Drosophila melanogaster: one gene and its partner. The protein of the gene in region 1 purifies or fractionates together with the protein of each later gene. This does not show direct contact. Each region holds a gene or a part of one and is shown in the gene's direction. Other genes may lie near its edges. The genes, in order: vvl and grh.

Region 1 (18,000 bases):
ACCACGGCGCTCCAGTGATAATTCTCAGAATTCTTGACTGTGCTCGCTGAATAATGTCTATGTTACTTCTGGATGCGTTGCCCCACAGCTCGGAGCCATAAGTCCAGATAGGTTTTAAGACGGAGTTGTATAGAAGAGCTTTGAACTCCAGACTAAGTGGAGAGCGAGCATTTATGAGCCAGTGGAGGTTCCTTGCTTTAAGTTTAAGATGTTTCGATTTGGCTTCTATATGTTTGCGCCAAGTGAGCCGCCTGTCCAGATGAACTCCCAGATATGTTACCTCGTCGGCTTGTGGAATGCATATGTTATTCAAGACCAGTGGTGGGCATGTTTGTTTGTTTAAGGTAAAGGTAACCTGCTTGCATTTTTGAACATTTATTGAAATTCTCCAGTCGGCAAGCCATCGTTCTACAGATGTTAAGTGTCGGGATAGGAGTGCCGTGGCTTTTATTGGGCATTTCGAGCGACTGAGTATCGCGGTATCATCAGCGAACGTGGAGGTTGTTAGATTGTAGTCTATGGGGAAATCCGCCGTATACAGGGTGTATAAGATTGGACCCAGTACACTGCCTTGCGGCACTCCAGCTTCGATTGCGCAATCGCGTGAAGTGCTTGTATCGCATCTTATTGCAAACACTCTGTTATATAGGTATGACTTCAGTAGCTTATGTGTGTTTTGGGGCAACAGCTTGATTATTTTAAACAAAAGTCCATCGAGCCACACTCTGTCAAATGCCTGCGCGACGTCTAGAAAAATGGCTGTGCAGTATTCTCGATGTTCAAAAGCAGTACGAATTTCTGACGTGATTCGGTTGACCTGTTCGATGGTTCCATGTTTTTCTCTAAAGCCAAATTGATGTGTTGGAAGTGTGTTGTTTATTCTAAGATGAGGGCTAATCCGAAGGAGTAGCATTTTTTCAAACAGCTTTGAAGGACATGTTAGTAAGCTTATCGGTCTATATGATGATGGCTGCGTTTTATCTTTTCCTGGCTTTGGAATCATTACTATGGTCGACTTTTTCCATTTTTGAGGGAAGTATCCAAGCTTGGCGATTGCGTTGAACAACAGGCAGATGTGAAGAATAGCACACTTTGGGAGTTCAATGAGCATTCTTGGAGTTATTAGGTCGTAGCCAGGCGATTTTCTTGGGTTCAGTTGCTCTTTGATAACCTTTGCTAGTTCACATGGTCGGAATTCAAAGGGTTCTTGAGGATCTAGATTGGCTGCTATTAAAGGAGGGAGAATAAATGTGTTGGTAGAGGGATTTGGTCGGAATACATTTTGTAAATGGTCAGCGAAAGCACTGGCTCTTTCTTCATCACTTCGAAACCAGGTGCCAGAGGGACTTCGGAGTGGCATAATTGGCGCTATTGGAGTCTTTAGGTTTCTGTGAGCTCTCCAAAGAGGGTACTTAGTGCTGGTGGGAGAGAGTTGCTCGATATATGAACGTTGGCTGTTTTTTTCCTCTTGTTTGAGAGCATTGGTAAGCCTGCGTGTGGCTATCTTAAGCATGTGCTTAGTAATTGGTGATCTATTAGACTGCCAATCCCTTCGTAGGCGTCGTTTATCTAATACCAGCCGCTCGATTTCGCGATTAGTTTTGATGTAGTTTGGTTACTGCAACATAATTTCATAACTTTAGTGCACCGTGAGGTATGCAAGAAATTTGAATAACTCAAATCATGTTATACAATTGTCGGATCAAATCTCTCGCATCGTTTCGAAGGGTTTTTATTATGTTATTAGCCAAACCAAAGTTAAAATTCCTAGCCCGCGCCGGTCTTCAACTTTAAAGGCCCTTCTAAACGCCTTGTTTGACTTGGCCAAAAGCGAAGCGCCTCAGCTAGCTGAACGCCCATTATATCTTATCATTAAAATATTTTTACGCCGCTTTAAATTATTATACAAAGAGGTACAAACAACAGGGAAATGTGAACGTTTGCTGGCTACTGTTAAATGAGCACGTTGGGCCTGGTCAGCCGTGTCCGGGGCACTCCTCTTCGGGGCTGGCTTCTAACAACACTTACAAGTGCTGGAACTACATAATCTAAAAGCAGAAATGCTGAAAAGCAGAAGCAACCGCAGCAGCGGCAATAATAAAATTGAAACTGATCGCATTTCAGAATGCTCGGCACGTCGCGCAGTTTATTAAAATAACTTGGCTAGAGGGACGCACAGGAATGGCGGGATATCGGGAGAGCTCGGGGAACCATCACCTGCTATATGGGGGAAAGAAAAATTAGTTTAATCATAAAAATGCTCGACATCGATGGCAGCAGAAGAAGACAACTCTTTGGGGGCAGCTACCTGTTTTGAGCAAGAAGATGACTTCAATTAAAAGCTTTTAACAATATCACGTACGGCAAATCGCTGGAGCGCGGGGGGGTTGAGAGTCTGATTACATCACAGTCCTGTGGCGGTCTCAATGGAAAGAAAGACTACTCCATTTTTTTTGCGTTTTATTTCGCCTTACTTTTTTGGTCGGTTATCAGGTGTAAAGCATCGCGCTCAAAGCGGTTTCAATGAAAACGCGTTTGTGTCCGAAGTCTTTTGATTTTTGCCACATCTCTGGAGGATAGTGGTTCAGTAGATACCATCGCCGGCTGAGGTTTTCTGCACGTGCTATATCCACCTCCGTCAGTCGCCCGCAGATCAAAGAACTCCTGACCACATCTCCACGCCAAAATAAAAATAAATATAAAAGTTGACCATGTCACGTCAGGGCGTCAAGTCTTTGTCGGCACAACGTTTTTTTTTAAGTTTTTCGCTCCTGTCACTGTCAGCTAAAGTTAATAACAATAACAGTAACAGTATAAGCAATTTCGGTCGCAGCGGCAAAAACACAATATTCGGCGCATGCGCAACTTTCGGGCGTTTTTCGGCAATCGTTTCGATTATAAAAATTTCATTTATGCCTTATGGGCGATTTGCAATTTCTGCGCAATTTGGTTCGGCGTGGCGCGTGTGACTTACGAAATAAAAATGGCGTTTATGGTTCAATTAAAATTCATTTAACCAGAGTTGTAAATAAAAACAGAAATTATGTAAAAATGAAGGATTATTTTTGTTTGTTTTAAATACCTACCTGGTAGACTGAAAACATAAATGTAAAACTGATTCTGCTCTTCATCAAAATCTAACAACATTAAAATATTATTAAATATAAACTTTAAACAGTCTTTCATTTCAAGCGAAACTTTTTAATTTGCAATTTTTATGGCAAGGTCAGAGGAAACTCACCACTGTAGAAAAACCCACCCCTTGGGCAGATGGTTCGTGGAAAGGCTAAGTCAGGGGTTAGAAGGGTTCACTTCCGCTTCCTATAAGAACCGAAAACACTAAGAACTCGGGGCATAAAAACAATTGGACGAGTTGATTGGCCTTTGATGTGCCAGGAGGCATTTGGTGTGCCAGGAAAAAAGTGTCAGTCGGAAAATGTGTGCCACTGTTTTTGTCGCTAATGATATGCACCCCTGGGCCTAAAAGGCCACGACCCCTTGAAATGCGATGGATATCGTTTGACGCAATCGTTTTTTTTTCAGTTTTTCTGTTTTTCGAAGGAAAGCAACCAACATGCGTGCCGTAGTTGTGCCATAGTTTGCAAGTTTGGGCACTGTTTGAAGTCCCAGTCACCTGGGCACAGGAAAAGGAAGAGTCGGAGAACGCGTTGCCCTTTTGACTGCATTATGCAAATGTTCCATGAAAAGAGATTTTTATTGACATATGTTTTTCCCTTTTTGCCGCCCGGCTTGTAGGTATTTCGTTGAATTTCCTGTCGCCACTTCGGTGGGTGTGAACAGAGTTTTAATTTTCATACATTTTCCATTTTCCAGCCATCATTCTTGGGTTGGGTTTTCAGTGACTGAGTGCTTTGGTTTGCATTTCAAGCCGATTGAAAGTGAGAGGACAGCACACAAAAGTGAAGTTTATGGAGATTTAACGCCTTAATGAATTATTTATTTTTCTAGATTTTCTCATTAGCTGGAGTTTTCCCAAATAACGAAACCAAAATCCAAACTATTAAACTCTAATCTCGAAAGTGAGTTAAGCAAATGCAGTGTTTGGGTTTTAAAATGAAAATTGATTTGATTTTATGATGTAAACATAAATATATTGTTTATATGATGGGTAATATTGTTTATAACTTATTAATATATTTCTCAGCGAATTTTGGATTTTTGATTTTTAAGTTAACATTTATACATGTTCATGCTTTTAAATTTACCCTAGTAAAGTTAAGGCCTTTTTGAACTGTTCTTCTTTAATCGGCTTTATCATAACCTACTTAACTACTTAACGAGCGTTGAAAGCAACGCTTACCCCACATAAAGGCAAAAAAAAAAGTTGGAAAAAAATTGTGTCCAGGTGTTGCAACGCTTTTTCGTACCTCCTCTATGTCGTTCGCCAATAATTCACGACCCTGACGGGTTCGCTCTGCCTATGGGACGTGTCACAGCGCCGCAGAGATAAATTAGTTAATAAATAAAAGGGAAAAAATGCTAACTAATTTGCATATTTGCCCTTTGCGCGGTCTCATTGACAGTTGGGCGTCGGGCTTCAATGCCAAAAGCCAATGAGGCGCACCAAAAATGCATTTAAACCGAAAACGGGGCGATGGGTCGTTCTTCTACCCTTTTCGATAACAATTGCCATTTTGTGCTCCGTTCGCATTTTTACTTTATGTTTTTTGTTGCTGCTGGTCTGTGTTTTTTTGGCGGGACGCAGAAATTTTCTATTTTGGCTGTGCTAATTTGCATATGACAGCAAGGATGTGCGTGTGTGTGCTGGAATTTTGGCAAACTCTACTTCTGAATTGCTCTGCCAGCTTGTGTTGGTTCGTAGGTAGCGAAAGTGAAAGGATTCGGGCCGAAGACCCAAAGGATAAGCGCCCTGATTGCATACCAGAGACTTTTTTAACGGCCGCTGCATGCAAAATTGCAAAAATTGAAATTGCAGAAGGGCCACACGAAACAAAAAAAAAGAAAACGAAAGAAAATGATAAATGGTTGGGTTGCATCCACGGGAGATTCGGATTTGCCTATATGCAATTTGCCTACACGGATAGATAGTTGACCTTGCCGAAAAGCGTAATAAAGGGTTGCTCAAGGGTTGTCTTCTTCGGCGGCCTCGTCTTCAGGACTTCCTCACCATCCTGTTGTTTTCTTAAGTGCTTGTCTCTCCGCTATTTTTTTTTTTTGGCGCGCAAAAAATAATCGAGAGTTGGGCATATGGTAACGAGTTGTCCGAGGCTTCTTCTTTTTACGCAAATGGATTGCAGCTGATGATGATGCCTTCGATGTGTCTCTCTAATGAAACGTTTGTTTGCAAATGAGCAAAATAGATAGATCCGGAAATGGGGTTGGGGTGAAGGATGGAAAGGATGGCAAGGGGTTGGGAGGACGATGCTAGGATTATTTGCATGAAATTTACTTTGAAGATGATGTAGGTAGGACAAGGTAGGGATTAATTGAATGCGAGAGTTTTAATCGATTCTCCTTGGGTTACCTATCAAATCAACTGGGCTTCTAAGGGTTAACGTTCAAAAAAGGAGATCGTATTATCTGTTAATGGTTGAAGGGAATCATGTTTCAAATGATTAGATGGCTTATGGATTTTCTGTCTTTAGTTAAGGTTACATATTAATTTTAGAACACATTAACTTGTGCCCAAGCTAAAACTTCTTTGTTTGTTTATAGCTTTTATTAATTTGCTTTTAATTGCCTTTTTTAAATTAGAGTTACGACTAACACTTAAAGATATACACCCACTGTGCCGAGTGGCATATGCAATAAAATAATGCTCTTCATGCCGAAAATCCTGTTCAAATGCATTAAATACAGCTTAAACCGATAAAATTACTTTGCATTTGCCACAAATTAGTCGACGTGTTTTATTTCCCCCCACAAATATAGAGATTCGCATACTTATCGAGTGTGTGAGCGAGTGTGCATTAATTGTATTGCGCGATAAACAAAGCGATCAAAAGCAGACCAGTTTATATGTTTTGATTCGGAAATTATGGCACTTTAATTACCAAAGCAGACGTTGAGGTTTTCGGCTCTCGCTCGCACTCGCACTCGTTTGCCGGTCGGGATGGCAAATTAATGCAAAATAAGAAAGAAAATTATGCTAATAATTATAAACAAGTGCGGCCCGAAAACGAGGTGTGAGATAGAGACAGCCGACCGGAGAAGGAGACGGGTAGATGGTAGATGGCCATATAAAAATGCAGCCGAAATGCTAATCGAGCTCATTATCATCCAAATCAACGGCGCCGTGGACGCGGCCGCCACGAGATATCTTCCATTCATAAACGCAGCGCTTAGTTGTATATATATATGTATATTTTCCTGCTCATTTTTTACCATCGCATCGTTTTTTATTTACTCGCATGCGGCGCATAATTATGCAACAAGTCCTTTGCTGGCCACAAAAACCAAAAACGCGGCGCGTGCGCATTTAGCATATGGACAAAAAAACGTAAAGCAGAAAAAAGTGACAGAATCACCGAGGGAGGATGGCCAGCAGAAACAGGATTTCTTCCTTCGCTTCGACATTTGAAATTTAAATACCAGCGTTTTTTTTTTGTTTTTTGTTTTTTACTCACTCGCTGTTGTTATTTAGCGCCGCCACCTAATTATCATGTAAATTTTTGTCTAAGGACCAACAATGACTGTGACTTTATTTTGTCACTGGGGTTTTTGGGTTGGAAACGCTTGGCTTATTAATTATGCCCAAGTGCGTGGCCAAAGGATATGGTCATGGAAAAAAAAACGTAAACAAATTTCATGCAAATACGCTCGAACTTGTCTGGCTTGCGTCTGCTCGGCTGGATGACCTTAGTTTGCATAATTTTTTGATTGAGCTCTTGACCTGCCTCAAAGGGGTCTAAAACTATGCTAAGTATTTTGTGGTGGGTGTTTATGGGATTCTTGGGCTAGTTATGTGTGCCAGGATTTATTAAATGAGAAAATATATGAGAGGGTAGCTTTGAACATTTTATGCATTAATTAAATATATTTTTTAAGTGGGAAAATTCTGAATATATGTTGACATATTTAAGGGAAATAGTGGGAAAATAATAAGTAATTTTTTTTTTAGAAAGGTAAATTTGGTTAAATAAGCTATTTTATGTCTGCATATATACATTTGACGGCAATTGGCTTTGAAGGCGAAATAGATTTCCATTGATTGTGTGCAGAGTTTCATTCATTCATTGTTTTAGGAAACATAAACTTTTACGGATATTTTTCATTTGATTCTTCGCATTGTCCCATAACGCTCCGCTAAATCAAAAAACTTTAAAACTGCACAGCCAGAAACAAAAGTCAGTATTCCAATGATAACTTTAACGATGGCAATTCCTTTAGCTATGCAAATGTATCGCTAGTTTCGCATTAATTTCGCAAAACTGATCATAGAATCAATGAAACTGACGGATGAAGTGAATCAATATCTTTTGTCAGTGAAACATAATTTAACTGTAAAGCAGTCAAAACACAGTCACAAACACAATGAGCAAAAGAAAGATATCAAGGTGGAAAAGAAAGGTATATTTTATGTAGGCAGCCAAACGAAACTTATATGCATATGAAAAAGAAAATTATAAAATATTCATCGGTAAAATGGTTATTTTTTTAAACGAAAATTTTAAATATCATTTCATACTAAACACTAATTTACTTTCTTTAATTTAATTAAGCTTCACTCACACATATTATAAACTGAAAAAATACAAATAAGATTTTCTTATATAACACATTGGTTAAATATTTAATGGGACACGGTCTATATAAAAAATATTTTCAACAGAATTCAGCGAAATTTGAATTGTCCAAATTCAAGTTCAAGATTTATTTATTTTTCATATTGATAATCAAATATTATTTGCTCTTAAATATTTTTACTATGCACACTTTTTTGGATGAACGATAAATAGTTAAATATTTAAACTGTTTATTTGTTTAATTCCTTTTCTACGCCACGTTAGTAATATGTTCTTCAAATCGCAATGGCAACCACTCCAGATGTCCCCCCTCCCAAACAAACACACACACTCACAAAGCCAAGGGAAAAGTTGTCTGGCCAAGGAGCTGCAAGGAACTGAAACAAAGCTCCCCGAACGGGAGAGAGAAGTCCTGGACGCAAAAGCTCCAACTGGGAGATGGCACTACGTGTAATCCCTGTGTTCCCGATAGCTGGACTCGAAGAAATCGAGAGATGCGCCGTCGCCGTTCATATCATCTCTCGCCCTCTCTCGCTCGCACTGGGCACTGGGCAATTAAAAATGTCACTCTGCATGGGAATGCACTGAGGGAACTTCGTAGAGCCGGCTCTGGTATTATTTTTTCATCTCATATATTTTTTTTGTTTTTGTTGGTTTTGGGGGCGTAACGCTGGAATACAGCGAGCCCAATAGAGCGCAAGTCTCCCTTCCAGTTGCTCGGTAGAGCGTCTATCTCGCTTGCCGCACCAATGGCGGTGCTGCTCGCACACATGGAACGCTGGAAGGCCAGCGGACAAACTGGTTTCGCTCGCCGGGGTGTGTGTGCGTACTGCGCTCGTTGGTGTGCGTAAACGTATCGGTGTGACGTACCGCCGAGCGTCGAGAGCGCTCAACGTAGAGCTGCGGTGCGAGACATGACGTTAGTTCACTTCGATAGCTCTACGAGTCTGCACGTGAATTTTCCCTGGGCTCTCGGCTGTCTTGACTGCTCAAATCTCACAACACACAATCTCAAATCTCAATCGGCATCGAATCGGTCAAGCAACCCAGTAGAAACACACATTCGAGAAATCTCAATCTGTATCTGAATATCAGAGTTCTGCGTTCTGACCACTGAGTTCTATCGATGATTTAAATCGTTGCGAAAAATCGCCACAAAAAGTGCCAAGTGTTAGAAGTGCTAAATGAAATTCGAAAATAAAAAAATCTAAATAAATAACCAAATAAAACGCAGTTAGCTCAACGCTAGTCAAGCTAAATAAACGTGAAACCCCAAGCAAATTGCCGTCGGATTTTTTACTTAACCCAAAGCTGAAATAAACTTGTTGAACGCGTTCGAGGGCCACGCCCCCAAAAAAGCAAACGTCGAACCCAAAAAAAAACAAAATAAGCGAAATAGAATATTTTTGCGCCTGCCACGTTGCCCGTAAAAGACGTCAAGACGGTTGCCTCACGGTTCGAGTGGAATGAGCATAGGGACCCTGGTCTTCCTTTCGATCGATCGGTGTACAAAGTCGTTAAACTGAGCCCCAACTTGGAGCCCTACCCCGCCAGCGTGGAGGGCCTGAACAGCCCCAGAGCGGTGGGGATGGCCGCGACCTCGTACATGACGCCGCCGAGCGGTGATCTGGACATGGCCCTCGGAGGCGGTGGCTATCACACCTCGTCGCCGCGCTCGGCGGCTGATGCCGGTGAAATGAAGTACATGCAGCACCATCATCATCATCATGCCGCTGCCGCGGCAGCTGCCCACCATCAGTTGCCCTCGTCGCCATCGCCCAATGGCCAGGGCAATGGTGGCGGACTTGGATTGGGTTCCGGTTCCGGGTTGGGCTCATGGAGTGCCCTCCATCCGGATCCGTGGATGCAAACCCATCATACGCACCATCTGCCCGCCGCCGCTGCCGTTGCCTCGGCCGCTGATACCGTCAAGCAGGAGATGTCGCATCTCTCGCAGCAGACGCGCATCCAACAGGGCATGGCCTCGCCCCATGCCGCCTGGCATGCCCCCCATGCGGGACACTATGCGCCAACGGGCGGGTCACCGTTGCAGTACCATCATGCCATGAACGGAATGCTCCATCATCCGGCCCATGCGGTTGCAGCGGCCCATCATCAGAGTGTGGCGCCACTGCATCATACGCTGCGCGGGGAATCGCCACAGCTGCACATACACCATCACATGGGCGGCGGCGATCGGGATGCCATAAGCGGCGGCGAGGAGGACACTCCCACGTCCGATGATCTGGAGGCCTTTGCCAAGCAGTTCAAGCAGCGCCGAATCAAGCTGGGCTTTACCCAGGCCGATGTGGGCCTGGCACTGGGCACTCTCTATGGCAATGTGTTCTCCCAGACGACCATCTGCAGATTCGAGGCACTGCAGCTGAGCTTCAAGAACATGTGCAAGCTGAAGCCGCTGCTGCAGAAGTGGCTGGAGGAGGCGGACTCCACAACGGGTTCACCCACGTCCATTGACAAGATCGCCGCTCAGGGGCGTAAGCGCAAGAAACGCACCAGCATCGAGGTGAGCGTGAAGGGGGCACTGGAGCAGCACTTCCACAAGCAGCCGAAGCCATCCGCCCAGGAGATAACCTCGTTGGCCGACTCCTTGCAGCTGGAGAAGGAGGTGGTACGCGTGTGGTTCTGCAATCGGCGGCAGAAGGAGAAGCGCATGACGCCGCCAAATACGCTCGGCGGCGACATGATGGACGGCATGCCGCCGGGCCATATGCATCATGGTGGCTATCATCCGCATCACGATATGCACGGCAGTCCGATGGGCACACACTCCCACTCGCACAGTCCGCCCATGCTGAGCCCACAGAATATGCAATCCTCGGCGGTAGCGGCGCATCAGTTGGCGGCCCACTAGCAATCAGAAATCCAGGAGTCGAACTCAGCTGCAGCTGCGTCCACTCCTGCATCCCTCAATAGTCTAAGCCAGCAGCAACAGCAGCAGCAGCAACAGCAGCAGCAGCAACACCAGCAACAGCAGCAACATCAGCAGCAGCAGCACACACCGAATACACCATCCTCCAGTGCGGGATCATCGGCTACGATGACCAGCCAGGTGATGTCGCCGCAGAGTCCGCTGGGCAGCTCCTCCGCTGGCAATCAGGCTAACAACAATAATAATAATAATAACAACAACAATAGCAGCACCAACAATAACAATAATAACAATAACAACGAGGAGCAAGTTAAACACCACCAGCAGCAACAGCAACAACAGCAGGCATCCAGCATAGCAGCCGCTGCAGCAGCCGCCATGTACATGGATCCCATGCGCTACCAGCATCCGCACCACCCGCATCCGCATCCGCACCAGCATCCGCACCTGAATCCCGCCCACCATCCGCACCTGTTCCACACGAGCGATCAGTTGCAGCACTCGCAGCAGCAGACCGTCGGCGGCACCAGCAGCAACTCCCAATTGTCACCGGGTGCCGGCAGCAACAGTGGCCTGCCACTCCAGCCGCCCAGTTCCGCCTCGCCGGCCGGATCCGCATCCTCGGTGCTTGGTGGCCATCTCAATCTGAATCCGCTGCACCAGCACCACCACTATCAGCACCACCATCACCAGCAGCACCACCACCACCAGCAGCAGCAGCAGCAGCTCCACGCCCGCCGACTCTTCGAGTTGAGTCTGCAGTTTGGAGCGGCGGCGGCACCGGGAGCGGTACGGCACTTTAACAGCTTTGGCGGGGCGGGCGGAGCGGGTGGCGAATAGCATTCGTCGGCCGCCTGGTTCGGCTATGAGTCCTCCTAGGATTCGGCGTCGAATGGGTGGCCGCATTTCAAGCGGGAGCAGCCCTAGAATCGTACAGTCGAACTTCTCTAACGCGAACTCAGTTGGTTCGATTCGAATGATCGCAAAAGTAGCTATCTAAAATTTAACTAGCTGTGAGCATTTCAGAATATTTCGTAAGTCATAAGAATATTTTTGAAATTTTTCAATATTTTATTTCTGCGGTGTTTTGAGGTTTTTTAAAATTTGAAAATAGCATTTCACAGTGTTCTTAAAATCTGTTACTAAATTGGCGACTGAAAAAAATCATTTTAAACATATATACTTAAACAATATGAACCATATTGAGTTCCACGTTAGACAAGCTCGACTGTATGCAAATCTTTAAAGAATAGAAATAAGATGAGGTCCGTCGATGAGGTTGAGAAATCATCTTTTTTACCAGTGCATTAATCTGTGTTAAACTTCAGCTTAAATAGGAGCAGGGAGTGGAGGAGGTGGAGAAGATGGGGAGGCTGCCATCCACCATTTTAGTTTGTTTTAAAGTTTGAAAAACTTGCTTAAATTAAATCAAATTAACTAAATTAAAATGTAAACGAAACATTTCCTTTGTATAAAAGCGAAAGAAACACGCAATTCAAATCAAACGTGAAACCAAGTGATGTTGTTTTAACCTAAAAACTAAATGCTAAAAAATTAAACTAAATGAAAATAAAAAAAACAGAGAAACTAGTTAAAAGTGCGACCCAAGTGTTAAAGAAACCAAAAAAGACAAGCAAAGAAAACAAATTCCTCAGCTGCTCTCCATAAGCAAGGTAAATGTTTCCATGCCCAAAAGTCCACAAAATATTTTTTCGTTCAACACTTTGTCGCCGTTTAGATCAAGTAAAAAAAAGGCTCAATGAGAAAGAAGGCAGCGGTGGGAGAACTCGGTGGGTTCTAGATAGGGTCTAGGTTCTTAAGCAAGCCGTGTTTATATATATTATATATATATAGCCAGTAGATTGTACTCTAAAACATCTATAAACGAACAGAACGTAAAACAGAAAAAGAAAAACGTAGAATTTAACGCGCGGCGAAGTAAACAAAAATACGAGATGAAGGAAGGATTAAGTAAAATATGAGAAAACCCCAAAACATCTGTAAATAAAAACTTACAGTTAAGTCATATTTTTTAGCTTTAAATGCAATTGTAGATTTTTTAATAAGCCCCCCTAAGAGAAAAATCATTAAAAATACAACCACAAGCGAAAAAAAAATAAACAACATTTACAAAATATAAATTTTAATTTTTAGGCGGTAATTTTTAATGAATAGGCACGTGAAGTTTAGTTACTTAGTACTGTACTTTCTATATAAGCAAAAGGAAATCGAATGGAAAACAAAAATGAATATAGCTAAATCTTAAAATTTAAACAAACCAATAATAATCAAATACCACAAATGCTAAATTGTAATATATTAATTGATGTACATTAAAACAAAAGGCAAACTAAATGCTAAACGACAAACTTGAAATTATTTCAAAAACAAAAATAAACGAAAATTGTGTAAAAAAAATCATCTTTGTGTTTTTTGATATACGTTTACATTTATGTCTACTTTTTCTATTTTCTTATACAAAAACCTAAAAAGAAAATCAAACCTTATCCTTTGGTGTAACTTTATATATTATAGAATCTAACGAAATTTTTGTTTAGTGTACTTTGTTTTGGTATGTTGAAAACTATGCTGTAAGAGCGAGAGAAGCGAAGCCGAATATTTAAGATTAAGCCATGCCCTCAACTGTATAATAAATTATATAGACGTACATATATATGCAACAGCAAAGTCAACAAAGCGGTGCATTTCCACCTACACATACACACACCCACACACCGAGGAAAACCAAGAAGAAAAAACTGAAAAGCAAAAAAAAACTCTTAAAAAAAAACAAATAAAAAAGAATATTATTCGAAAAAAAAACGCACCGTCCTTTTATTATTATTTAATTAGCGGCATCATTTATTTGCATTTACTTTCGTCCGCTTTTTGGTTGTGAAGTTTATGAGTCGTTGGTTTTGACAGTTTTACAGGAGTTTTACGGCCACCTTTTGCAGATGCTGGTTACGATAGGGCGTTTATATCGATGAAATCGCGATAATTGCGTGTATTATTAATTTCGTTTGTTTGCTTAAAGTGTTCGAAAAGCCATTAAATAATTAAGTGGGCACATTATAATGTGATTGCCTACGTCAGAGAGGGAGCAATTGGCAATTAACTAACAACACAACTCGCAGATCGAGTAATACCGCTCGTTAATGAAAGTTGCCATTAAAAAGCGTGGCATTTCGTGAAATTACCCTTTTATAAGGCCTTAAGTGCTGCTGGAAGCACCTGATGGATCTCTGTTTGTCCCTGGTCAATGCGCAATCGTTGAACAAAACAAAAAGAGCACCGACGTCAATCGAAAGGCGATTAAAGTGACAATTTGCCAGATTTACGCGGTCAATTTAATTTACGAAATAAGTTGGGTGTATTTTTCGTTTGCAGAAATCATTCAAAACTTCCCAATTCGTCAAGGTATTAGTATTATGTTTAAGTCCTTAAATTTTTAACAATTTAAGTTGTTTCCAAAAATGAAAAACAAATTCATGAAATACCATTAAAGTCGTCTCATTCCACCTGCACATTGCCCCCTGGCCGCCTTATTGTCATCTAATGTACCGCACGCTTTTAACATTTAATTTATAATTTAAATGCATATTTCATTGGATGCTGATTAACAATTTTGTGCCGAAATGCTATTGGTTAGTAATTCTGCATAAAAATTGCATCAGCCCGAAAAATACATATACATACATACTCGTATAACCCGAGCCCTCTCACTCGCTTTTGTGTGCGAAATAAATTCGCATAATTGAAAGCCAGTTTTAGGCTTAAATATATAAACAACAACTGCCCCAAAAACAATAACAGTAACAAATAACAAATAATAACAATAATATATATTGTACAGAAGCGCAAGTGCAATGATTTATATTTATGCGACGGCAATAATGCCGTTTAAACAAAACGAAAATATCGGTTGTTATTTTTGTTGAAATTGAACTCTTGGCGCGCGTGGTTTATAATGTTTCAATAAAGCGTACGGAAAATGAAAAATAAAAATGAAAATTATATTTTCCGCACCAAACTAAGCAAAAACACCCACGCGATGCGCTTCATGCACTTGAACAATATAATATCGACAGTATTATATTATCCACCCATATAATTATTCTCTATGCTCTCTTAATTATTTTCTAACAAAAAAAAAGAAATAATAGACGGCGAAATGAAATGAAATTTAATGGGGAAACAACATGGCTGCCCACAAGCCTATTTATACGTTTATCTATTGCCACCTGCCATTTTGGGGTAGTTGAACACACACACACACACGCACACACCCACTCGTGTAGATGAAACCTGCCCCTCGGGCTATATAAACTTTTATATGGAAAACGGAAAGGAAAGGTTTTTTTTTTAATGGTCATGTGCTAGTTGAAATGCGCTTTAAGAATTTATGGGATTTTCGAAGGATTGTCCAAAAGAAATTGGGGGAAATTCCTGACTGATTAATCATGGCTAATGGATTTGCTGTATTTAAATGTGAGGTAATATGAGGTATTTTCATATTGCTACTTATTACATATTATATAAATTTGATATCTTTACTTATTTACTCCTTATCTCACACAAGTTTTAGACTTTTTATATTGCCGATTAATCTACCTAATGGCCTATTTGAATAGGCGAATATATCAGCTCTATATATTTATTTTCTCCTCTGCCTAATGAAAATTATACTACCATTTTATAGTCACTCCATAGTTAAAAAGCACATTCCACATTATTCGATGATAAAGAAAAGCCACTAATCTACGAGGGCAAATTGTAGTTTTCATTGGTTTTAATGTTGCCGTGCGTGCAAAGTGCGACAGCGGCGGCAACACCCCCTACACACCCTCCCCCATATGTACATATTTAAGTATATATATATATATACCCCGACCATATCTATAGAGAGAAACCCCTCCTCGAGGCAAAACTACCGACATTTTCATTATTATTTCGAGTGGAGTTGGTTGGTTTTTTATTATTTCGCGTGGCAAAGCAACACGCCGCCTGCTTTTGTACATTTCACTGTGTGTGCTTTTTGGGCTGCGTGCATACAACCGTGTCAATAATTACCCGTGGGACTGACACGACCAACGAGAATCATTCAAATGTTGCAAAGGCAGCAGAAGCGGCAGCGGCAGCAGCAGACGCAAAAGCACCAGCGTTCCACTAACAATGGCTAAAACAAAAGCTACAGCGGCGGCAGCTGAGAGACACTGAAGCTGGTGAACCGGCAGCAGAAGTTGGTAACGGAGAATCGGGCCACAATGGTCTCGGGCATATTGCCATTGTGGCATTACTGCCGCCACTCCGGCAAAATGGCTGACTCTAGTCAACGTCACCCGAAAGCCAACTGACGAACTGGCCGACTGACCATTCCACAGGAGCGGATTAACTATGGGTTTTGGTCCGGGCTTAGAATTTGGGAACTATAGAAATTACAACATTCAAGCATCAAATTAAAATTTATATATTAAATTATTTTTACGCTTGCCAATTTATTATTATTATACGCTTAAATAATATTATATTTATGTACTATATTATAGTATATCTACAAACATAGTTTACTTAATAACTTAATAATACATAATAGCTTGGTAAGCTTTCGAAACAATATTTAATTTCTAAATTTTCGAAATATATTCTTCTCAGCTCTCTAAAGGTCCGAACTCGTGAAATCCGCCCCTGTGATTGGGCCGCACTTTCCTTCTGTGCGACTTTGGCTTTTGGCTCCGGCTGGGCGACTTTTCCACTGACATTCGGAGTGTCGGGGACTCTGTGCTCATTATCTATGCTTCCTTTGGGAATTTTCATTTTCTTTTTCCGCGCTCCTCTGTTTTTTTCTTTTCGTTTTTTTCGTATTTTCAAAGTTCTAGCCGTGTGCGTTCGTGTGCGACATTTGTGCAAAGGAAAACAAAAGAAAAGACGAATGAACAGCACTATCCGGCTGGAAAGTACTACGTACTGCGTATATAAAATTATATAGGTGTACTTGGCTATTCTTGTTTCGTTCCGAGCCAAATCAGTGCGTTTGGTATTGTAAAACCTTGCGCTAATTACAAAATTTATTGCCTCTTAACGGAGCCCTCGAAAACGTAAGTCAAGAGCGTTGGAAATTCTTTTTAACTACCCACAAAAAAATGAGATGTATGTATGTATATGTAAAATGGGAGATACTCCCACCAGCGAATTAAGCTGTGACTGTGTGTAAAGTGCAGGTAAAACAAGCCACAAATTGGGATGAGACAGGTGAAGGTGGTGGCGGTGGCGGTGGTGCTGAAGGTGGTTCTGTGGTGCGGGGGCAGCAATTGCCATTCGACACCTTCGACTGTGGAGCACCTACATCAGCTAGACACCTAGACAAATAATGCGGGCAGGCTATATATGGACGATCATAGTGATAGATATAAGTGAGCTTCAGGGAGCATCAAGGGGACGTTTGAAAAGCTTGGAAGAAATGGGCAGATTTATTGGGCAATCTATTAGTTTGCTCGCTATCAAAATATTTAACTAGTGAAAGGAAACCTTTTAAAAGCATTTTCAAAATGTTAATTTGTATTTACTTGTCTACAAAGCAGAGGTGCCCAACTAAAATGTAGCCGCTTGTTTCTATGGTATTAAGTGATAATTGTTGAAAGTAAATAAAAGGTAAAGAAAAACAGTGTAATTTTGAAACATATCTGTACAATGAATTCCAACTGTTTGTTACGATTCTGTTCTAAACATTGTTGAGTAGTAACTCAAAAAACTTCATACTTGGAATCCTTGAAACTTCGCTAACTCTTTGATCAAACCTCGCAGTCATCATCTATGACAAACAAACAAACATCTCTCTAATAAGCAAACGCAATTGATGGCTGAACCATGACATTGTCGCCGATCTGCGGTCGCCGCGGATTGCCATTTAAGTCTCATGTGTGCAGTCCGCAGTGTTGGCCAAAACTGTTGAAAATGCGCGGGTTATTAATGGCTTTATAAGCTGCTGCCGTTTCTACACCTCGATCCGCACCTGCGGGGCGGCATTTGGCAAGCAAATTGGCAGCGGTATTAGCCACTAGTTCAGTTGTTGGCTAAGAAAAGTCCAATCCGGAGTTCGCGATACCAAGACCCCCGCGATCGTGCTGCGCAGTGTCAAAGCCAACCACTTTGCGATGTGTTTTAGTTTATTTTTTGTATTTTTTTTTGCCGCTGTTATTGGCAATGTGCTGCTGCTCTTTTCGCTGCTGTTTGCGCACATTTTTAACGTATAAATAAAAAGGCTAATGGGTGGGGTGGCTGGCGCGCAGATAAAGTCAAACTCTGGGCCACCCTGGCCCGGGTCTCGAATCCAATTCGAACTATTAAAACGATATGGGAAAAAACTATGTTCTCACACACAAT
Region 2 (15,778 bases), on another chromosome or scaffold:
ATTAATTTATTTATTTTTACTTATTTCAATATCAATTTTTTGCAAATTTTTTATTTTTTTATTTTATAAATCATTTCATTTTAAAGGTTGTCTGTTTGAGCCCTTTTTTTAAGAGAGTCGAAATATTATTAGTCCATGTTTCTCGCAGTGCTGTCATGGATGTGGCCACGGTTACAGCTATGGTTATTGCTTTGGCTTTAACTATTGCTTGGCTTTGGCTTTGGCTTCGGCTATGGCTGTGCCCACTGACATGGATATGGATATGGATATGGATAGGGAAGTTGAAATGGAAATGGACACGGTAAAGGTGGCCTTCTGCTGGCAGCTGGCAACGCTGCTGAACATCCAAAAGCTCTTTCTCTCTCCGCCATGCGAACTTTCTCCGCTTTCTCTCTTACGAAACGCTCTTTAGCACTGGTGCCGCTCTCTCAGTTTCTCCCGCATTCATTCACAATTCCGTGAGCAAGGCGACGGGCAGCGAAAAGCTCTCTGGAGGGCACTTTTCAAATCAAATATAAATAAGTATGTGGCGGCTCCTCCGCGGACTCCTCCAAGTGTTGCATGTTTTCGTGAATGAAAACGAAAGTCTTTTGCGACCCGCCGCCAACTCGCAACCCCCCGTCCGCACCTTTGTGTGCACAACTTGGGGGTATATCGCCCCGAAAACCCAGTTCAGAGCACCCGATGTCGCCTCAAACCCCCCCTGGCCGCATCTAATTTGATTCATATATGTATAGGGGTATATGTACGCCTGTGTGACTTTGATTAGGTATTGGGCCAGCGAGTCGCTCTGATAACTGTCGTCCAGATAAGAGAGCTTTATGTCAAGTTCGAGTACTCCGTTGCTCTGTCTCCGGGCTTCGAAACCCAAAACCGATATGCCATTAGCCTATCTACAGTGTTTATTCGAGGCATTATATCTTTATATCGCGTTCAGATATATGAGTAACTTTTAAACTCTCTAGCTTAAAATGTGGTAGAATCGCTTATGTTCAGTTTCTATGTTTGGTGCAAGTGTTTTATAAAATGCTAATCAGTAGCTTGCGCTATCTAAAAGTTTACGTTATCGAGCGGCTACTGTACTTACATATTTATGCTATTTTGTGCCAGTTAAAAATGAGTCAGGCTGAGCGCCAATTCAGCGATGAATAAAATTGTAGTATACTTTAAAGGGTGATTGATGAGTTGTAAAATCAAAATAATCGACTTTTAACAAGCAAACCCCCCTTGTTTTTTCCCTTTTTTCTTATCTTTACAGTCTGGCCATCAAGAATGCCGATGAAAATGCCCCCACGAAGCGAGATCTGGTAAATGCCGAATTCTTGGATGGCGAGCAGTGAGTTTGAGCACCAATCAACTTAATAAACTTAAGCCACGGAAAAACTACATTTATTTGTACATTACAGACCCACACTGGAGGAAATCCGCAGCTGGGGCAAAAGCTTTGACAAGCTGATGAAAAGTACAGGTAAGCCATTGACAATTGCCACCTTGATCCAAACTAATTGGTGGTTGGCCGAATATTTTCCCAGCTGGTCGAAAGGTGTTCCAGAACTTCCTGCGCAGCGAATTCAGTGAGGAGAACATCCTATTCTGGCTGGCCTGCGAGGATCTCAAGAAGGAGAATAGCCCAGAGTTGGTGGAGGAGAAGGCGCGCCTCATCTACGAGGACTACATCTCGATCCTGTCGCCCAGGGAGGTGTCGCTGGACTCCAGGGTCCGCGAGATTGTCAACCGGAACATGATCGAGCCCACGACGCACACCTTCGACGAAGCTCAAATCCAGATCTACACACTGATGCACAGAGACTCATATCCGAGGTGAGTGCTCTTTAGGCAAAAATAAAAGATACTGTATTTATACTTAAACGGGGTATCTTTTTCAACAGATTCCTAAACTCTCAAAAGTTCAAGACACTAGCTCAACTGCAAGACAACTCGAATGCCGGTTCCAAAGCGGATAGTCCAACTTAGAGAGGATGGCTTGATGTCCCGGATCGGATTTGGATTTGGATTTGGATCGAATTCAGTTGCGCTGTGTTGACTTCCGCTGTTGCTCTCCACTGGTATATCTCTGATTTTCCGCCCCAATCGCTGCTGCAATCGACTAAGCAATATGTATCCATTAGTAGAACCATTTAACCATTTTGCGAGCAGCCACGAAATCAGGATCCTGGTTGGGGCCGGTGAATCAGACGTCGTGCGTTCAATGTGAATCGGATTCCTTTCTCTTCCTACGTTCTAGTCGTTAGCTAACCAAAGAGTTAGGTATTACAAAATATGTTTTCACTAAGAAGCAGGTTCGACCACAGAAAGCATTTTCCAAAACAACCAAAAAAAAACAAAAAAACAGAAAGAAAAACAACAAGAAAAAAATACCCAGAAAGCTAATACGAAACGAGCGACACAAATAGCATCCATTGTAATACTAGTGATCTAAGAGACGTATTAATCAAATTGAAACCAAGATTACGGAACCCGCTAACTGATAAGTATGTTTAAACGTAATCATAAACCGCAACGTAACAGAAATACTTTTTCCAAAAAAACATTACAAAAAAAAGAAGGAAAGAAACCAAAAAATCTTTTTAAACGTATTACATACATAAACTTTATAAACTTATATATACAACACACCAGCATATATATATATATATATATATATAGTAAAATTGTTGTTTTATTTATGAGTCGAACTAATGTCCCGTCAGTTGACTAAGGACAACGCCAAGAAATAAAAAATAGTTTTTAGGAGAAATAGTTTCACGACTTTATTCTTTGGATCTCAGCTTAAGACTAAAAATCAAATGCAAATTGGATTGAGGAGAAGCCTCAGTATTTGAACAATATTTGTATTTCGGGAGAGCCTCGCTCTTGGGTTCTTAAGATTAGGTAGCGTTGAAAGAGGGCAGTCAAATCTGCTTAGGTCAGGCTTTAGGATGTTTACAAGAACGGCTGCGCTGCCAAAGATAAACGAATGCTGCGCAGCTGGGATACGTTATGGAAAATTACTAGAGTGCATTACTGATTTCTTTGAAATAATGGAAGTGGCTGGTTTGGACCACCCAAATACGTCACTATATATATATATAAATACGGATATATAGAGACATTTAACATGACTAGTTTTGAAATCGTTTTAGGTCATACGAGTAATGACATCGAAGCATTTTGTAAATACAACAGCAGACGGCAACACTTTCTACTTTCTTATGAAACCCCATTGAGGATCAAGTCCTTTCTTAAGCAAATCTTACAAAGCCTCATCTTGAGCTGTACTTTGAGCCAGACCACAACAGACCATACACACCCCATAGAGTCTTATCCAAATGCAAACCGGAACAAGCGCATAACTAACGTGTACTATATTATTTCGATGTCGAGCTGATTTCCAAGTCGAAAGAAGAACGTTTCGCAATATCACTGCCAACACAAATAAGAAAAAAAGAATCAGAACTTCGCAACAAAATATATCCACTTACAAATGTATTATGCAATTGTTTTTCGTTAGAAAAGCGGAAGTTCCAAGAGTTTCCTTGCATTGCTCCCTTTCTGCATTCAAAAAAAAAAACATATATTAAAAAACAGTATTATAAATAACAAAAAAAAGGAAACACAAGAGTATGGTTACATTTAAATTTTAGCAAACAAGTTGTCGAATTGAAAACTAAAAACAAATATAAAATATGAAAAAAACCAACAAATTTATAAGGAAAAACACAGAACAAACAGGAGGACTTTCGGTTCGAGCCCTGGCAAAAAGTTAACAATGTTATTTCGATCTTAAGTTGGTTTCCTTTGACCTTAGGTTGTTTGTGTTCGAGGCACAATATTTTAAAGTACAATATTAATGTGTGTACCTTCGTTGCGGGGAGCAGGGAATGTATTTTCGTAGCTAGTTGGTGTGCCTAGTTTTAATGCATCTATCGATACAAAACCCCATCCATCACACTCTGACATGAACAAGAACAGCAAACACAAGTATATTAACTTTACTAGCAATTAAACAACATCTAGTTTACTCAAAGCATATATGATTTCAATATTGTTTTCCACCAATCGAGCCAACGTTACTTACTTTTCTTATTCTCAAATCTTAAGGTGCTCAGCATAAGGACACCAAATGAGTTTTTCTTTAATATAGAGATATTTTTGGAATACCCCCGCATAAGTTCCTATATTTTTATAACAGCTTAGACACGATCGAAGGTCCGATTTCTGGATTCATATGGTAAATCACATCTCCGCCTAGTCCTTTGAAACTTGACTTTCACGCGTCACTCAGGCTGCTACTTGGAATTGAGAATTCGACAAACGCCTTTGCATTATAGTGTTCGATGAGATCGGCAGATCCGCGGATCGGTGAGAATCCGAGAACCAACATCAACGTTTCCATGGTTTGTTACATTAATTTTAGGCAATCAGGTTAGACAAAAATGTCCTGGACAAAGGGACGCGCGGAGGGATGGAATGTTTGTTTGTGAATGCTTCTCTTCGGTTTCTTACTTTTGCATAACGGACAGATATAAGACTTTTTGAAGAAAAAAACCAAATATATAAGTACATTTAATGCGATTGTTGTTTGTTTTTAGTTATATACACCGCCACACTCGCACACAAAACACACACACCGATACATGCATACATATATATACTACTTAGCGGTATATGTACAAAAACGTAATCAAGCATTAGTGAAATGTTTCGACCAGTTAAAAACCACAAATTAAATTTATTACATGAAAATCAACTAATGTGTAAACGCAAAAACGGCAAAATCAATAAATAAAAAATGGATTAAACTAAGCCTAAATTTAGTTTTAAACATTTAATATATTGCAACAATAAACCGAAATGAAAATAAAACTCAAATTCAAACTTGAGATGCAAGTGTTTGTAATTGGGCTCCTGGAACTCAACATATTACATTAAATATTTTTAATTTTATCTTTATTTATTGTTACTTATCATCATGAATGTACTTTTTAAATATTTACTGTAAAATTGCATTTTACATAAATATTTTACATTGCGTAGAATGTCTAGTGCTTCAGTGAAAACTAGCGCCCGCTGCTTTACGTTCTTAACCACAGTTCCACGCGTGCGCAGCGCCAAAAGACAAACAACGTGAATTGGTGAGTGCGGGATCCAAGTGGGGGGAGCTCGGAGGAAAGGAAGCTGGGGGGAGTCACCCTTTACCATGGCGGAAAGCACACAAGCACCGTCCGTCGGTTCGTCCGCCGATCCACACGACACAGCGCTGATTGCCGCGCCGCCTGGCGAGGTGAGGTTGTAGGAGCCCGACTGAGGTTAACCGAAAGCCAGGCCGAGAGAACGGAACAGAGAGCGGCGGAGGCTGCGGCGGCACGGCAGCTACTTGGCGTTTTCGATTGTGGTACATGCACAACTATTTTACGTATGTATGCCACACGGAGAAAAAAATCCTTCATTTCACAGTGCTAACAATTCGAGTTGATTTATTTGATTTTATGTTAAATATATGCAATATTCGTAAATTTTTTTAATATTTAATCATACAAAGTGCTTTAGTGATTTAGCTTGTGTATAGGAAACCTATCAACAGTATTTTATATAAGAATTAAGAGTTGAACTATATTAATTATCTGAACTGCTTAACCGCGGAATAGTTTTCAGAAAGTGCATCTTTGTATCCAGTAATTTTTTGCAGGGACTTCTCTTGGCATGCGGTGATCTCGGTCTTTCTCTCCACCTCTCTCCCGCTGTTGTGTGTGTTTGTTTCTCTACCTGATGCCCGATTGCACTACCACTTTCACGCGGTTTACAAGCCGAATGACAACAACAAAAACAGAACAACAAGGCGGCGAGTTCGAAAGCGAAGTAGAGTGAACCGAGCAGCGAATTCGAATTTTCGACGATGAATGCAATGCCGCAGCACAGAAATAAACGCAAAGTCCGGGAGATACGAAATGCAGGAGCGGTTTGCCCGTGTCGAGGGTGGCTGTGGCTCTCTTTCTTGCCCTCTCTCTTTCTCTCTCTTTTGATCTGCCATCTCCCTTCGCCGCAAGTGCATGCTGAAGTGGAAGGTTCGTTGCCTAAGTCTTTTGTACCTGCCTGCGTTTCGGCCTCTGCAGGTGCACCCACACACACACACACAGATGGAAGCACTGGGCTACCTGTGTTTTAGATCGCACTTGTATGGGTGTTTGGGAGTGTAGAGACAACATCATCGATTCGAATGAATTTGAGTGGCGCTGCGCTGCCGGCGTCGCTGCCGCGTTCGCTCAATATCAGTTACGAAAGAGATGAAACCATAAAAAGCAATAATAATCGAGCGCTCTCTAACCAGCGCCGCGAACACAGACATCACCTTGCCACCAATACAACTGCACGACGACGTCGGCAGAGGTGGCAGCAGCGGCGGCAGCAGCACATTCAACAGTTGAACAATCTCCAATTGACTCTTTGGGCATTATAGCCAAGAGCCGAGATCCAGCGACAGCGACGACAAGTTTTCCGCGCACACGGAAAGTCAGCAAGTTAATACACCGAAAATATATAGTTTCAAATCCGACTAATCGTTTCAAATCGAAATTACCTGTGAGTGCGCGTGTGTGTCGCGATATTTGCGAAAAATCCAAAAGTTTCTACGCCAAACAAACAGCAAAAAGTCGCGCTTAAACTTTTTCGAAATTAAATAAAACACACACACGAATTTCAGCCACGAAGAGGAAGAGAAGGCTGAAAAAGCGAAAAAAAACCTCGTGTGTGTGTGCGTGTGTGTTGAGTGCGAGAGTATCTGTGTGTGTGTACGTGTGCATGTCTCTCGGAGAGCGTGAGCTTAAAGTGTGCCTGTGTGTGTGCGCTTGCGAGCTGGAATGAGACGCCATCAAAGCTGAGCAGCGAATAATAAAATGCAAAATAAAAATAGTGATTAATAACAGCAGCCAGAACCAGCAGCAATAACAAATGCTAGTGCGGAAAGCGCGTAAAAAATAGTGAAAATACTCATAGAAAAATAGAAAAAACAACAACAAATTGGCTTGAAAACGCAAATGCCAGGCGCAACGCCCCCGAACCGACCCGCCCCCTCAACTTTTGCGCCCTCCAGTAGCAATAGCAGCAATATGAGCAGCAGCAACATCAAATGTTAGGCCAAAATGCACAAACCGCCAGCAACAAAGGCAGCACCAAGCGAACGAAACAACAACAGCTCCACATACCACAAAGAGTGGCACATTAGAAGCGGCCAAAAGCAGCCAGCCGAGAGCATTGTGTAAGCCAAAGGCCCAGAGAGCCAGGCTAAAAGCCCCCAGACGCACAACAACAACAACAACAACTAAAACAGCACAAAGAGTGGCGAAAGGTGCACCCACCAGCAAAACAGCAACAACGGAGCAACCAACAACAGCAGCAGCAGCAGCAGCAGCCACATTTCAGTTACAGCTCCAGACTCCCAGGTTGCAGACTCCCAAAGCAAACAGACTCCAGTCCACGATCCAGCTCCAGTTCCACCGATCCGATCCACTGCTCCAGCGTGCTCGAGTGCCATAGATCCTCACCAAGTGCCAAAATCCGCATCCTGATCCCAAGAGCTCAAGGCACCCCGGCCCAAAAGTGAGTAGTACTTAGCCTACCAAGAAGTAATTATAAACGCATCAGGCTATGTAGCCCTGGTCGGTTCATGGAGGGATTACACCGTCAGAAATATAGCACCCTATTGACCATTTGGTTTTCGGCTTATAGATCCCTTTTTTCGGGAGATTCCATCACAATAGCTGGTATTCCCAATAAAGAGAGCAATAAAAGCGGGCATTTTTTGGGCACTACTAGGGTGTAGAAACTTTTCAAAAATAAATATTTTTCAAAACTTGATATTTTTAAAAAACATATGGTATTACCAAACTATAAGATATATTTTAGCTAGATTTATACATAGTACGTCAAGTTGATTCGATGGAGTTAATAGAAAAATGGTAATTGGATATTATTTCGATATTATTTGACAACGACAATCTCATAGAAATATTTTTAAACAATTTTGCTGGAGATGTAGGCATAAAATCCATTTAGTTCGTGCGGTTTTAAATTAAAATGCATTCTGCATGTTTTTTTAATAAGTTTTATTATATCTATACGGCTAGGCATTTTAAATGATTTCAAATGTATTGAAACTAAACGATTTCATTACCCTGCTGGCCAGTGTTGCTTTTGAAAGCCTTCGTTCACAGTGGACACCCTGTATGTTGTGCAGACGTAGCCTAAGTCTCTTGGTCCCAGCCTCAACTCGTGTTGTTGTTGTTGTTGTTGTCATTGTTGCTGTTGCTGTTGCCGTTGTGTTGTTGGTGGTATCTTTCGCGCACACATTCCTCTTTGTTTGGTTTTATTTTGTATTTCGTATTTCGAAGTGGCCGCTGCGCAGCGGCAGCGGCAGGTAAGTCGCACAGGTATTGGTATTGCTGTCATATTGCCGTTGTGCTCCCAACAATACCTTGCTAGAGCGGGAGAGTTGGCCATAAAGAGCGGTAGCGAGAAGGGATCAAGACGCCTCTGTCTCGGTCTCGGCCTCTGCCTCTGCGTCGACGTCTACTGCGCAGCCTTCTTGTTCGAAAATCGATGATGTTGCCCAGTGTTTGTGATTACGTTTTCCCCTGGACTTTTGTGCTGCCTTTTGCCTCTTATGTTCTCAGCTTCTTTTTATTATGATTTTTATTTTCTTTCTTTTTTTTTTTTTTTTGATTTTTTCCCTTCTTGATGATGGTGATCAATTTGGGGCTGCGATTATGGTACAGTAAAATGAACATCTACGCAGCACTCACACCGCCAGACACACAGATACATTCAGCCGTGAGATACACACGCACACAGCGAAACAGGCACATGTAACCCACACACAAAAAAAAGGGGGAACTTCGTGAGAGAGTTATTTTATTTTCGTGTTCGTGTTAACGTTTATTGTTTTTCTTTTCTTTAGCCTTTCTTCGTTTCTTCGGGACTTCTTGACTCCGTCTTGCAGCCGTTCCCGTTCCCCTTCGCGCTCGCCACCCCTGCCCCATCCATGCACGCCTTTATTTCCCTGAACATTCCCAAATACACGGAGAGAAAAGGGGATGCATTGATGGTGATATTATGAGGATTTATTTATGCATATAATTATTCTTAAAGAGGCTAAGAAGTCAAAAGCTAAAATAAAATCGTTTCAATGAGTTTCTATATCATCAGATTAATAATATAACTCAAAGTTTTGAATCGACATGGCATTTCTTGCCGTGTACCATCTACCAACTCTCCAGTCTCAGTCATTGGTTATTGATGCCCAACAACTCTGACCGTTGATGTCTTAGGGTTACGCTGCGCATTTCTTCTCTTGTCTTTTCTCCACCTCTCCCATCTACCCCTCTCCATCCCCCCCCTACATTCACGCGAAGTAAGGTAAAGATACGTAAAATCCAAATTTCAAATTATGTCAAATCTTAATGGGATTTGAAATGGAATTGCTTTCGGTATTCACTGTGTATCTGAAATCGGTGGTATCGGGGGGAATGGTGATCGTGGTTTGGGGGATAATAAAGAACGAATGACCATAGATCTCGTTGTAGGCGTTGTCTGTATGCAAAGGTTAGATGGAGGGCTTATTTTCACATGTGGTGACTTCCAGTCGATAAAATCGAAGAAAATTAGTAATGATTGTTTTGTGAGAAGGTTGATTTACTCATATAGTGATCATACCTGCATAAACCCCAGGAAGCCAACGTAGGTAGATGTATTAGACTAGATTTATTTGTTTCGACACTTATATTGCAAACACACTGCTCAAGGAAAACCGACTGTTAATTTATCAAGGTTCTATAGTTATAAATATGCAAATTGCTTTCGCCGCGAAAGATTTCCTTATGGTGATCCAGTATTGAAGCAAATATGTCTATACGTTGTTGAACAATTTTTGCATATACGTTTTAACGTGATTTACAGTTTATTGTTAAGCCAATCAATAACAGTAATTGCTCATTAATTACCTTGTATTACACTTGTGTTCGACGACTTGTTTTGATGATCAAATAGATTTAAAACTTACACCTTACACAGTAATAAGCAATATTTAATAATTTTCTTGCTAATACTTGTAAAAAAATATATCTTGCTACATATGCTCTATGGTCTTCCGCACTTATAATTGTTCCTATAATTTTTGTGGCGCCCCCGGGTGGACATTTCAATAGGAATAATTTCTTTGAGAAAGTTTCTCTCCAGAAATATCGCTATTGAGATTAATTTGGATTATCTTCTCCACATCGCTTCCCTTTTCTGGTCATAATCTAAGCCAGCAGCTACTTTTCTTGTTGCTGATTTCTTTCGCACCCACCGCATGAGTGATGGATCTTGCCCAGAATCCATCTATCTCCGGCTGGAGGTGCCAGCTTCATTGCCATTCTCCGATCTCCGCCATTCAAGCGGCAAGTTGGAAAGTTTTGTACGTAGCCCCGAGGGTCTTCGCCTGGCTGGTAATACATCTGACCCAGTTCGATGGATGCGTTGGGATCACTTGCGAGCCGGGGTGTTGATGTTGGTTTAATTGTTTCCTAATTGCCTTTCCACATCGACTTTCATCGGGCAATCGTTTCTGATTGTTTGTGCCAAAAACTAGTCTATAAACAGCATGACACTGACCTCACCTACTAACGGAATACCCACAGACCGGGTCCGAGGAGCCCGTCGAGATCGTCGTGAACTCACCGGCATGGGCTGCCAGACACACCGAAAAAAAAAAAAAAACGGGTTTATCCACATCCACATCCCAGCAGTGAACTCTGCGGCGGCGGCACCAGTAATTTTTTGGCTTTATCATCAAACAACAATATATGGTGGGGGGGGGGGGGGGGGGGGGTTTGTGCAGGGGGACTGGACGTGGAACTGAACCTGGGCCTGGACCTGAATCTGAACCTGGACCTGAACCTGGGCACGCTGTGGCTGTTTCCGAGGCTGCGGCAAGGCGTGGAACCAGAAAGTCAGCCTTCTGGATTAGGTCAAGGATTGAGATGCCGCTGCTGCTACCGGTGTGTATGGTTTTGGTGTGTGCCGCAAACTGGAGAGTAGTACCTGTTCTCAACTTGTTGTCGATGTCGATGTTGTTTTGTTTTGTTTGGTTTCGGTTCAGTTCAGCTCAGCTCAGCTCAGCTCAGCTCTGTTCAGTTCAGTTCAGTTCAGTTTCAGTTTCGGTTTCGGTTTCAAAATCCCTCATAAACATGTTTTGCTAACTCGCAGATTCTGGACTATTAACAGCTGATGGACTGACTGGTTTTTTGAGACGTGCAACGTTATAGTGTACACTCTGTGTTTAATTTCACACAAAGCACCGTTGTAAACAAAACACAAATATGGCTGAGAAGTTGGCTTCTCTGTTGGCGTCGACAGAGCGACGTTGGCAGCGACGCTTCTTCCACCTGTTTGGCTGTTTTGTTGTTTTGTTGCTCTGCTGTTTGGTTGTTTTGTTGTTTTGCCGATGTGATGAACCGCACTGAGTTATGCAGTTACACGTTTGACATTTGCGAAGGAGTCAAACTAGTTCGACGGCCACGTGTGTGCAGGCCAACTCGGCTTATTTATTTGTATTTTTTTTTTTCTTTCCGTTTTCCGATTTTTTGTGTTTGCCCCTTTTTGTTTGTTTGTTGGTTTGTTGGCTGGCTGGTCGTCTGTTTTGTGTGCTTGCAAATCGCTTGTCGTTTGAACCCGTTCCGCTGGCTCTTCCGTTTATGTGTGCCTTCTTTTTCATTTTTTTTTTTTCACCTCATTTTCAATGGGGGTGTGTGACTGCATCGCCAGTGGGTCGAGGAGGGGGCGGGGGCGGGCGCCAAGCAGACTGCCGCCAGACAGTGCCACTTTTGTTGTTGCTTCAGCGGCCTCATCGTTAATTGAGAGTGGTAACGGGGGAGGAGGAAGGGAGGTGTTGCTGCAGGGCTGTTATTGCCAAATGGGAAACACCTTATAGCATATGACTCACACCGTAAAAGTGTTGGCTTAGACTAGCGTGAAAATATTTTAATTATTTCTAACAAAACTATTAAAATAATATGGCTTTCTCAGCTTGTTAGTTAGGCATTTAAAAAAGCAACAATGTTTTTAAGACTTGCAATGATGTAGAAAAGTTTTGTTTCAGAATATTCGTTATAAATTCTTTATATTTTTGCTATACTTTCTTTCTACAACTTGCACCCATAAACACAACACAATTGTTTTCATTACACTTCACACTGGAAACTTGACTAGGTCTTTATCAATTTCACCTTTTTTACTAATTATGAACCATTGTTTTTTGACCAATTCCAGTTGAGCTGAGAACGAAACGAAGGAAGTTCCTTAGTGCCATAGAAAGCAGTTAATGAAACAACGACTAAGACGAAGATCGACCATCCAGAACCGGAGGGAGCTAATTGCGAACGAAAGAAACCACAAAGTGCCTTCCATCAATCCGTTGATAAGTGATATTTATTATGTTTATACTTGCCAGCAGCCGAGGCAGCAACAGCAATAGCAACAACCATAGGGGATCACGGCATCGATGATCAGTCCACGACCAAGTCCTAGTGCAATCCGGAATCCAGTTCAAATTAGTTCAATAAGCCGTATCTACCACGTATAATGTCCACATCCACCGCCACAACGAGCGTTATCACGTCCAACGAGCTCTCGCTGTCCGGCCACGCCCACGGTCACGGTCACGCCCACCAGTTGCACCAGCACACCCACAGCCGCCTAGGAGTTGGCGTTGGTGTTGGCATCCTTAGCGACGCATCCCTATCGCCCATCCAACAAGGCAGTGGCGGCCACAGCGGCGGAGGTAACACAAACAGTTCACCACTGGCGCCCAACGGAGTGCCACTTCTCACAACAATGCACCGATCACCGGACTCACCGCAGCCAGAATTGGCCACCATGACGAACGTCAACGTGCTGGATCTGCACACGGATAACTCCAAGCTGTACGACAAGGAGGCTGTATTTATATACGAAACGCCCAAGGTGGTGATGCCAGCGGATGGCGGGGGTGGCAATAATTCCGATGAAGGTCATGCCATCGATGCGCGGATTGCGGCCCAAATGGGCAACCAAGCCCAGCAACAGCAGCAGCAGCAACAGCAGACGGAACACCAGCCGCTGGCCAAGATCGAGTTCGATGAGAACCAGATAATCCGGGTGGTGGGACCAAATGGCGAGCAACAGCAAATCATCTCGCGGGAGATCATCAATGGGGAGCATCATATCCTGTCGCGAAACGAGGCTGGTGAGCACATTCTCACACGGATCGTCAGTGATCCCTCCAAGTTGATGCCCAATGACAATGCAGTGGCCACGGCCATGTACAACCAGGCCCAAAAGATGAACAATGATCACGGGCAGGCGGTATATCAGACATCACCATTGCCGCTAGACGCGTCTGTATTGCATTATAGTGGCGGCAATGATTCGAATGTAATTAAGACGGAGGCCGATATCTACGAGGATCACAAGAAACATGCGGCTGCAGCAGCAGCTGCTGCCGGCGGAGGATCCATCATATACACCACATCCGATCCGAACGGAGTGAATGTGAAACAACTGCCCCATTTGACGGTACCCCAAAAACTTGATCCCGACCTCTATCAAGCCGATAAGCATATAGATTTGATCTACAACGATGGCAGCAAGACGGTGATTTACTCCACTACGGATCAGAAGAGTTTGGAAATATACTCGGGCGGCGACATCGGCAGCCTGGTGTCCGACGGCCAAGTGGTGGTCCAGGCGGGACTGCCGTATGCCACCACCACCGGAGCCGGCGGCCAGCCCGTCTATATCGTGGCCGACGGTGCCTTGCCAGCGGGAGTCGAGGAGCATCTGCAGAGGTGAGTAATTGCCCACAAAGGGCGTTTAGCTTAATGAAGGGTAGCTGTGGAAAAGGGTTGGTCCACTGCCAAGTGGTTTGTTATTGTGCTCGAAATTCCAGAGAGCTGTGACCCTTAATTAGTGGCTCAATCGGAGCTTGAAAGGGTCCGAAGTTTGGATACAAAGAATCGTTGTTACAGATTTGGTTTTTTATATATCGGGCATAATATAATGTTCTGTATATAACAATTTACAGATTTCATTTAGCTAGTAACCATTATACCATTTCAAAAGAGAACGTTAACTAAAAAATTAGTTATAGGTGTCTCGAAAATATTTTGTAAGATCGTTTATCTAATGTCGAGCCTGTGTTCCGGTTAATATCCTTAACCCACGGACCAGCCCACTCAACTATTCATTGAGCGCTGTTCTATCGGCTACATAAATCTCGACTAATTGCCTTCGTCATGGCGGTCAGTTGCAGCTGGAGTTTGAGTTGTTGCGGCTGCTGGTGGTAATGGTGGTGCTGGTGCTGCGGTTGGTTACCACATCAACATCTTAATTGGGGACAGCAGAGTTTTAGTTTGGATTCGGTTTGTGTCCCCCTCTGAAGTCGTGGTCCTTTCAAATCAATGTTTGTCATTTGCATTTCTCATGCATTTGAATTAACCGCTCTTGCCGCGCGCATTTTACTGTTAATTATTGCGATAGGCCAACCGGCAACGGCAGCAACATTGCTGCTGCAACAGCAACAGCAACATCACTGTCGCAGCAACGCCAGCGCATTCTGGCCATACCCCATCCACTGACCAAACATTGAGTTCAGGCTGGTGTCCTCATCCATGCCCATTCCCCGAATCCCCATGCTCCAAACTCCAATCCATGCTCCATGCCATGCTCCATCCTCCATTCCCCCAGTGGAATGACAGCTTCCGTTGTAACTGTTTCTTCCATACGTTATTGCTGCCCCTGCAAACAGCAACAACAGCAACTTTGGCATTCTGGCGTGCATCGAATGTGCAAGTAGGCGAGCTAATAACACCCAGATCCAGCACCACGGCTCCACGGAAACCCCCATCGCCATCACCAACCGCATCCCCATTCCCATACCGAAACCCAGTCGCATCCTCCTCCTCCTCCTCATCCGCCAGCGATCCGTTTGGCAATTCATTTTAGAGCAGTCGACGTCGAGCAGTGGTATGCGCGGGTAATAAAAATTTGAATATAAATTAATCTAATAGAGAACCGTTAGCGAGCGAGGTGAGATGCAAGCGCAGCCTCCTTGAGCAAGGTGCCGCCACGGAGCTTGGCAACTAAGTCATCGTCATCTGCATGAATCGCCGGATCGTTGGCCACTCGGACATCTGCAACGCCATCGCCATCGCATCTGCATCTGCAGCCCAATCGGGCTACTCCTCCTCAGTCTCCTCCTAAATTCTTACACAGAGAGAAAAGGGTTGTATGTTGGCAGTTCGAAATGATGGGATTTGGATAGCAATGTCAAAAAGGACTATTTTCGAGACATGTTATATGAAGAACATAAGTTTTCTCAAAACACAATGTCAAGCAAGAATTTTGTTCTGCAAAGTTTTCTTCGCAGTGCATTCTTCTAATGCCAATGTCCCATCCTGTTATAGCGGAGGATGCTGCAGCAGCAGCGGCGATCGCAGCAGCCGAGGCAGCAGCAGCATCGCTGCAACAGCAACATCAACGGACACAGCAGCAACATCGCTGGTTCGTTTGGCCGGCGTGCATGTTGCATGTGCGGCAAGGTCCATAAATAACGACAAAATTGCGTTTCCGCATATGGACCGAGCAGCAAACGTCGTCTTCGATTCGGACTTTGCTTGGATTTGGCCAGGCTTTTTTTCTGAAACGGCGACCGAGCGACTGTGGCAGCAACATTGGCATGCCGTCGAAGAAGCTGCTGGCTGCAGGA

The links.
Region 2: the proteins of vvl (region 1) and grh purify together in Drosophila melanogaster (affinity purification with western blotting; one study listed by BioGRID). This does not show direct contact.

Annotation. Positions count from the first base shown.
Region 1 is NT_037436.4:6,781,511-6,799,510, forward strand, and holds vvl (ventral veins lacking), read left to right. Parts: upstream 1-8,647; 5' UTR 8,648-9,315; coding exon 9,316-10,599; coding exon of another isoform or gene 10,600-11,544; 3' UTR 11,545-13,431; downstream 13,432-18,000. UniProt on the Drosophila melanogaster protein: Binds to a DNA sequence element required for the expression of the dopa decarboxylase gene (Ddc) in specific dopaminergic neurons. Could also play an early role in specific ectodermal cells, and a subsequent role in the embryonic nervous system.
Region 2 is NT_033778.4:17,795,796-17,811,573, forward strand, and holds the start of grh (grainy head), read left to right. Parts: upstream 1-6,450; 5' UTR 6,451-7,596; intron 7,597-12,303; 5' UTR 12,304-12,615; coding exon 12,616-13,859; intron 13,860-15,778. Other genes in the region: Dhit (double hit), read left to right, coding at 1,259-1,336, 1,407-1,468, 1,533-1,821, 1,890-1,974. UniProt on the Drosophila melanogaster protein: Transcription factor that binds a CNS-specific regulatory element of the Dopa decarboxylase (Ddc) gene. Also interacts with sequences adjacent to other transcription units, including Ultrabithorax (Ubx) and engrailed (en).